2 linked regions of the Canis lupus familiaris genome follow. The protein of the gene in region 1 binds, or shares a complex with, the protein of each later gene. Links are inferred from orthologs where the notes say so. Each region holds a gene or a part of one and is shown on either strand. Other genes may lie near its edges. The genes, in order: PDS5B and WAPL.

Region 1 (3,828 bases):
GTATCAAAGAGTATCAGTCATCCTATTTTGGCACCATATTGATAAAAAGATGTATCTTTTTTTTCTTAGCAGCTTAACAAGAAACTGTTAAATATGGGGTGCTCATAATGACAAGAAAAATAGATCTTTCTGAGTCTTGTTTAATACATTCAAGTCACTTTTTACCACATGCATTTGAAAATGAAAATGTTTGTCATTATAGCCTTAGCATATGGTGCATTTAGTAGACATCTCAATATTGGACATGGTGGATGAATAATGAATAAACTTGTTTATGATGTTCCTCAATACTGGATATTTCAGTATAGTTTCCGTCTAGCCATGTTGTGGTAAACTATTGGGGTGCAGGAAATATGACATCAGAGACAGAGTAAGATTTGGTTTTCTAACCTGGATGTTTTATTTTGTTTTATCTTTTTCAGAAAAATTATTGTCTCTTCTACCAGAATATGTTGTTCCATATACAATTCACCTATTGGCACATGACCCAGATTATGTTAAAGTACAGGATATTGAACAACTTAAAGATGTTAAAGAGTAAGACTTTTTTCATCCCATGTTAATGTTTTCTGAAAGTTTTTTCTCTTTGCTGCTGATAATGGAATCTTTATTATAATTAGTTTATTAGATTTCCTAAATTCTTAGGAGTTTAAGGTTCTTTCCTGTATTCTCTTATTTTTTTTTCATACCGTCTCTTCATATTTCATTTCCTATGTGATTTCCAAAACTTAATTTAGCATAATTATTGTACTACTGTTCTATTTCTCTACCTTTCTGGCATTTCTTTTCTGTTGATGCAGTCCATTAAAAGCTTCTGTTCCAGTTCTTGTCTTTTCCCACTTTTTTCTGCAATTCTAGATTTTCATGTGGGTGAATTAATTTTATTCACATAGCACTTTTTCCTTGCAGTAACTATCTTCCTCCGGAGGAAGAGAGAATGGTCTAATCTAATGATGGACCAAGCTGATCATCAGGAACTACCCACTTACTACTTTACTGGCGATTTTCTAGTGCAAGTTTATGACACTTGTAATTCTTCCAAAGATTGTTGTTGAGAGGCCAAAAAACCATCTATGCCTGGGTGTGGAACAGGGAAATATAATGGTATTTAGAAAAGTCTTTGTAACACTAGAATAGTTCTTTAAGTTTGAGACCCTTAGCCCCCTTTGTACTATATAATAAAGGATGATCTTTGTGGTTTTGAATAAATGAATTTATTATACCTTAAGCTTCCTATTAAAGGAAAATAATGGTTTCTTCGTTCATTGAAATATTTTATAGTTAAATATTTGAGGTGCCTCAAGAGAATAAAATCAAATTACTGATAACTTTCTCATGGCAAGGGAAAAGCTGTTACCCTCTTAGCACAGTTTCTGGTTTTGTTGTTTTTTAATTTTTTTAATTTTTTATTTTTTTAAAGATTTTATTTATTTATTCTTGAGAGACAGAGAGAGAGAGAGGCAGAGACACAGGCAGAGGGAGAAGCAGGCTCCATGCAGGGAGCCTGATGTGGGAATCGATCCCAGGTCTCCAGGATCAGGCCCTGGGCCAAAAGCAGGCATTAAACCGCAGAGCCACCTAGGGATACCCCTGTTTTTGGTTTTTTAATAAGCAGTTCTCCCAAAATGAGTTCTGCATTAGTGATTATAACTAATGAAAACTTTAACAACTCCTCTTTCTCAGAGAACTTTGGCTTTTGAAATACATTTATTTTTTCTTCAGAATTTACTAAACATTTTTGGCTTATTTTTATTTTTTTTAATGTTTTTTTAAATTTTTATTTATTTATGATAGAGAGAGAGAGAGAGAGAGGCAGAGATATAGGCAGAGGGAGAAGCAGGCTCCATGCACCGGGAGCCCGACGTGGGATTCGATCCCGGGTCTCCAGGATCGCGCCCTGGGCCAAAGGCAGGCGCCAAAGCGCTGCGCCACCCAGGGATCCCTTGGCTTATTTTTAAATTGCCCCAGTCTAGCCATGAGTAATCTCCCCATTCTGTTAGAGAGCCACTTCAGGAGAACTTATCCTATACCTGAGATCCTTAAGGTTATTTTTCCCTTTCTAGAATGATACCTTGCTCCACATTACTCTTGTCTCCCTTGTGCCAAACTCTGTCCTGTTCTGTCCATATAGTAAAGAGACAAAGTACTTTTGGTTTTCTGTTGAATAGAGTTTTATGTAACAACTAATGAATGAAACATCCTTTTAATTTTTCCCTCTTTAAGCAAAGACAGTATGTATATTTGTTAGCCATAACTTTTTCCTCTTTAATTTATTCATGAAGATTCTTAACTATTGAGTGAGATAGTCACTTGAAAACCTTCAATCAGGACTGCATTCAGTCTTAAATTAAGTATTTGAAGCTTCACTTATCCATGGCCCAGTTATTTAGACGATCTTCTCTCCCTGTCATTGCTAGAGTTAGGATCATTTCATTCTCTTCACCATTTAAGTGTTTAACGTGCCTTTTTGGAAACATTAGTGAGATTTTGTGAAGGGGTCTTATAAATTCACACCTATGTTGCTGATAAGTTGTGATATGTATGCATGACATACTTTTTTCCTCTTGATTTATAGTTGGTTTTTCCTTTTTAATTATTTCCATTTGTGGAGTTTATTATATTTAGATTATTGTATCTATATTAAACACCCAGTTTTTTCCACTTCACTTCTTTTTCTCCCCTTCCTCTTTTTAGATGTCTTTGGTTCGTTCTTGAAATATTAATGGCTAAAAATGAAAATAACAGTCATGCATTTATCAGGAAGATGGTAGAAAATATTAAACAAACAAAAGATGCCCAAGGACCAGATGATGCAAAAATGAATGAAGTATGTAATTCTTTTTAAATAATTATGATTCCATGTTGATTTAAGTATTCAAATATGGATATGCTACTTCTGTAGTATGTATAGACATTATCAGTCTTTTGTATTAGTACTTAATAATTACTATTAGTAATTAGAATTACTGATGTAGAATTACTAATAAGGAATTAGTAGTAATGCTGTTACTAGGAAATAATGAAAACATTAGTTTAACTTACACTATTGTACTGAAAACTACATACAGTCATACCTTGTCATAATGTTCTATGCAGATAATTGCGTTTTTCTTAAGTTGATTTATGGCAACCCTGCACTGAGCAAGTCTAATGGCACCATTTTCCAAAAGCATTTGCTAATTTCGTGTCTCTGTATCACATTTTGGTAATTCCTGCAATATTTCAAACTTTTTAATTGTTGTATGTTATGGTGATCAGTGATCTTTGATGTTACTATGATCTTTGATATAATTGTTTTGGGGTGCCACGAACTGCACCCATACAAGACAATAAACTTAATTGACAGATGTGTGTCCTCTGACTGCTCTACCCACCAGCTGTTTCCCCACCTCTCTACCTCTTCGCGGGCTTCCCTATTCCCTGAGACAATATTGAAATTAGGCCAATTAATAACTCTGTAGTGACCTCTTAAGTGTTCAAGTGAAAGGAAGAGTCGTATATCTTTCACTTTTAATCAAAAGCTAGTAATGAAGAAGGTTGGTAAGGATGGCATGTGGAAGCTGAGAGAGGCTGAAAGCTAGATCTCTTGTGCCCAATTGTAAGTCAAGTTGTACATGCGAAGGAAAAGTTTTTAAGGAAATTAAAAGTGCTGCTCCAATGGAAAGCACAAATGATAAGAAAGTGAAATAGCCTTATTTCTGATACAGATTAAGTTTGAGTGGCCTGGATAGGAGATCAAATCAATGATAACATTCCCTTAAGCCAAAGCCTACTCCAGGGCAAGGCCCTGACTCTGTAATTCTGTGAGGGCTGAGAAGTGAAGAAGCG
Region 2 (3,828 bases), on another chromosome or scaffold:
TAAATGGCCCTTGCAAATCCTCTGCATCTTTATTCCTGAAACCCAGAGACTGAGAATTAAAATCCCTAATAGCCTAAATATAGTTAATATATACACACACACAAGAGAAAGGATAGACAAAATGTAAGAAAATTTACTGGCAAACCATCTAAATATACACGGGATAGTTTAGGAATTTAGGAACAGAATTATGCTCAGAGCTAAACTTTAGAAGAGCTTCCCAATTTTGACCAAGAGGTTAAATGATTTCTCAAAGTCACACACCTACTGTGACTAATATAAAATTTCTGAAAGTAATTTTAGATTTTACAGTGGAAGGAAGGAACCCACCGTTATATTTTCTAGATCAAGATGCTTGTTGTGTACAGTTTCACAGAGCCTTCGAATTTTTTCTTTGATTTTGTTCATGTCTTTTTCATTCAGTAGCTTAGCTGAAGAAGCATCTTGTTCCAGTTCTAGAAGTCGAATCATTAGATCTAGGCTAGCTCTATCAAGATCCATGTTCAGACGATCTCTACTCAGTATGTACATGAGGGCAGCTGTACAAAGGGACAGATTCTTCAAAAGATAAAAATAAAAGTTAATGTGAGTAATTGGTGACATTTCAGTTAATGACACTGTTTTGACATTTGTTCACATGTTGGAAGCCTTGAAAATGTTTTATTCAATGAAAATGCCCCCCCCTCCTTTAGAATACTCTAGGAAAACATGAATTTAATAAAGCTGTTACTTAAAATTTTCCTTTCTAGACGTCTTCCCCATATCAAAACTCCCAAACTAGAAGAATGTGAGTGGCAATACATTTCTCTTTAGCCATTCTATGCTGAATTTATAGAGCATTGTTCCAGCTTTGCATATACACACAAAATTTTTTATACTCTACCTCACTTTATGATATAGTTAATAAAGTTGAATTTTAATCTTAAATCAATAATGTATAGGGGTCTTAAAGTCTGCATCAGACACTTAGCTATTTTTTCTATAAAATAAACACAGCTAAATTTGTCAAAAATATAAAGCTAGGATGACTCAATCCCACAACCAAGAAGAGATCATGACCCAAGCAAAATCAAGAGTCAAGCGCTTAACTGACTGAGCCACCAGGTGCTGCCAAATAGACTAAAAATTTTTAAATAATGCTTCCTAAAACCAGAAACTTAAAAATACCTGATGGTGCTGGGAATCATCCAAGGTTTTAAAGACCATTGCTACCATTCCATGTGCTCTCAGGTGCATTCGAAAACTGGGCATGGCACATTTAGTAGCCAAGCTAATAACACTAGGAGAAAACAGACCAGGTTAGGGGGTATTGAAAATAAGTAGTCATTAGTTTTTTGTTAGCACAATACCAAGAGAAGCAAATGGGGAAGGGAAGGGGTGTCAAGCCACTTGCCCATATGGATAGCAATATAAAACACACGGGCAAACCTAATTATTAAAAATCATACATAGTTAAGTGATTAGTATAAATAACAATGATCACCATTGTATTCCTTACACTACTACTACCATTAAAAGCAAAAAGTCTCAACTACCTTTCATAATGCTTCTGATACATGGAAGACTATAGATAATACTTGAAAGGATATATTCCAACTGACTGGATAATTCAATCAAATTAAGATATTCAATCCATTATAGTATGTGAAGGATGATCCAAATCAAAACATGCTTAAATCAAACACATTTATCATTTGTCTAAAATCTGGGACTGAAAAAGATTTTTTTAGCCTAACACTTCTTTTAAGCATCTCTAAATTAAAGCCTATATACTATGCTAATAGGGTACAAGCATCCACCTTTCCTCTGTCCATGCAGAATCAAGTCCCTATATAAAAAATCAGCCACTTTTAACTTACTACCATGGGCTATAAACTATATTCATGATAACAAAATCACAAATGTTTGGCTCTTTGGTTGGAAAATTTTAGTGAGAGCATGCATACATTTATCAAATATAAAAATAAGACCTCACCTAAGGCAACGTGTGTTTAGAGGCTGAGTGCTCTTTAAGCCACTTAACAGGTACTCAATGTCATCAGTGAATTCTTGATTCTCACCAAATTCCACCACATCATTGAAGTGCTTCACATGCTGAACAACAGTATACAACTGCGAAGAAAAAATAAGTCCACTTCTTTGGTAACCATGAACCAGCACATTAAAATCTATGAGCTGTATTTCATTTAGAAGTGTATAGAAGAGTTCATTATATGGCAACTAAAAGAAATGTTTTAAAAACACTGGTAGTACTAGGAAAGGTAAGTTCGTGGATATCTGTTCAAGACATTTTTAAAGGCTAAATGTTACATACAAAAATCTATCCACGTGCAGTAAAACTGTATATGGCTGCTTACTTCTTTGTCTTCTTTTCTGCATTTCAGTGCAGTAACTATATCTTGGTAGGGCTGAGTAGGTATTGTCACAGTTTTTATCACTTTGGGTGGTGGTGCAGGAGCCTTAAAAACTCCATCATCTTTTTGATTTGGTTCCTTTGAAGACAGCCTCACCTATTAATAAAGGTATTAAATTATTGTTCTAAATATATAAAAATAGTAACATCTCATCTACCTAGCAAATTTGGCTTAAAAATTTAAAAAAAGGAGGCCTCTGAAAGGTCATAAGGGCTACTTTAAAATTCTATGCACTGCTAGGTAAGACTCATAAAAGAACCGCTCAGGAATTCCTTCTGGTCTTTTTGAACCTCATGACATGATTTGTTACTTGTCTCCAAGACCATTAGAAGGAATAAAGAACCACAATTACACACATAAATAGCATTGATAAAAGGCCAGGAATGGGACAAGAAAATCACAACAGATAGACAAGAGAACTTTTAAAATAAAGAATCTGTAATGTAGGGTATAAATAATCATAATAAAAGCCTGGTATATAATTACTAATATACACAAGGATGATTTTATACTAGTATACAGAGTTTAATATATTCAAATTTAAGAAGACAAGGAACTGTATATTATTATATTTTAGAAAGAGCTCTATCCCTAATTCTTTTGTCGTTATAAAGATTCATTCCTTGACATACTGTGACTGAGGTATTACCAATAATTTAAAAGTATTAATCTATGGTCCTTCCAGTTATTCTAAAGAAAATAACTTGATAAGAATTTTTCATATGTGCTTTTAATTGAAAGCTATTACTGGAATGCAGGAAAAAGTTCTCCTCCAAAAAGTAAATTAACCACTCAAAGCTACATAGGATATAATTTATAATAGTCTTAATAGCTAACATAAACTTCAAATATGGAATAATTTACCCTTAAAACACTAAGTACAGTAATTCCATAAGATCTGGGTCAGGAGAAAAACATGTTCCAATGTTTTTAAGGCTTTTATCTATAAACTAGTAGCATCAGAACTTCAGTAATTGTGTCCACAACCCTCACTTTTCCCATGAATTAAACTGAAGCTGCTCAATTTTAATGAGGAGTCCAAAATAAACTGTTAAAGTCAAAGATTTTCAAACTGTAAATAAAAAGCAACAGCTTTAAAAAAATGAAATTAAAATTTTTAGTTCACTTACTGTGGCACTCTGAGGTTTTACTATTGGTGGCCCAGGCAGCTCTTCAGAGTCTGGATGGTTCCAATGTCTAGCATTATATACAGCTTTTGTAGGAGACTAGAGAAATGAGAAAAAGATTAACTGTTTCCTTCTCATTTTGCATCCTTATATAAGTGTCTCATCTAAACAAAATAAAATCACAAAGAATAACTTAAATACTTAAACACGTATCCTAGACAGAGCAGGATAGACCATACCTGGCTTGTATTCGCATGTGCCCCCACGCCTATGGAATCACTGTGGTG

Evidence for each region.
Region 2: the proteins of PDS5B (region 1) and WAPL are in contact, whole or in part, in a crystal structure (PDB 5HDT), measured with the Homo sapiens proteins. The link is inferred for Canis lupus familiaris from reciprocal best matches to the Homo sapiens genes PDS5B and WAPL. Residues at the interface, in NP_055847.1 of Homo sapiens: Gln47, Phe88, Ala92, Pro93, Ala95, Trp137, Val138, Lys139, Ser140, Asn142, Ile143, Phe145, Glu146, Glu187, Gly188, Asp189; in NP_055860.1 of Homo sapiens: Lys7, Thr8, Tyr9, Ser10, Arg11.

The regions. Positions count from the first base shown.
Region 1 is NC_049246.1:7,478,256-7,482,083, reverse strand, and holds part of PDS5B (sister chromatid cohesion protein PDS5 homolog B), read left to right. Parts: intron 1-422; coding exon 423-537; intron 538-2,694; coding exon 2,695-2,827; intron 2,828-3,828. UniProt on the Homo sapiens protein: Regulator of sister chromatid cohesion in mitosis which may stabilize cohesin complex association with chromatin. May couple sister chromatid cohesion during mitosis to DNA replication.
Region 2 is NC_049225.1:35,120,015-35,123,842, forward strand, and holds part of WAPL (wings apart-like protein homolog), read right to left. Parts: intron 3,641-3,828; coding exon 3,545-3,640; intron 2,511-3,544; coding exon 2,358-2,510; intron 2,113-2,357; coding exon 1,976-2,112; intron 1,280-1,975; coding exon 1,168-1,279; intron 559-1,167; coding exon 331-558; intron 1-330. UniProt on the Homo sapiens protein: Regulator of sister chromatid cohesion in mitosis which negatively regulates cohesin association with chromatin. Involved in both sister chromatid cohesion during interphase and sister-chromatid resolution during early stages of mitosis.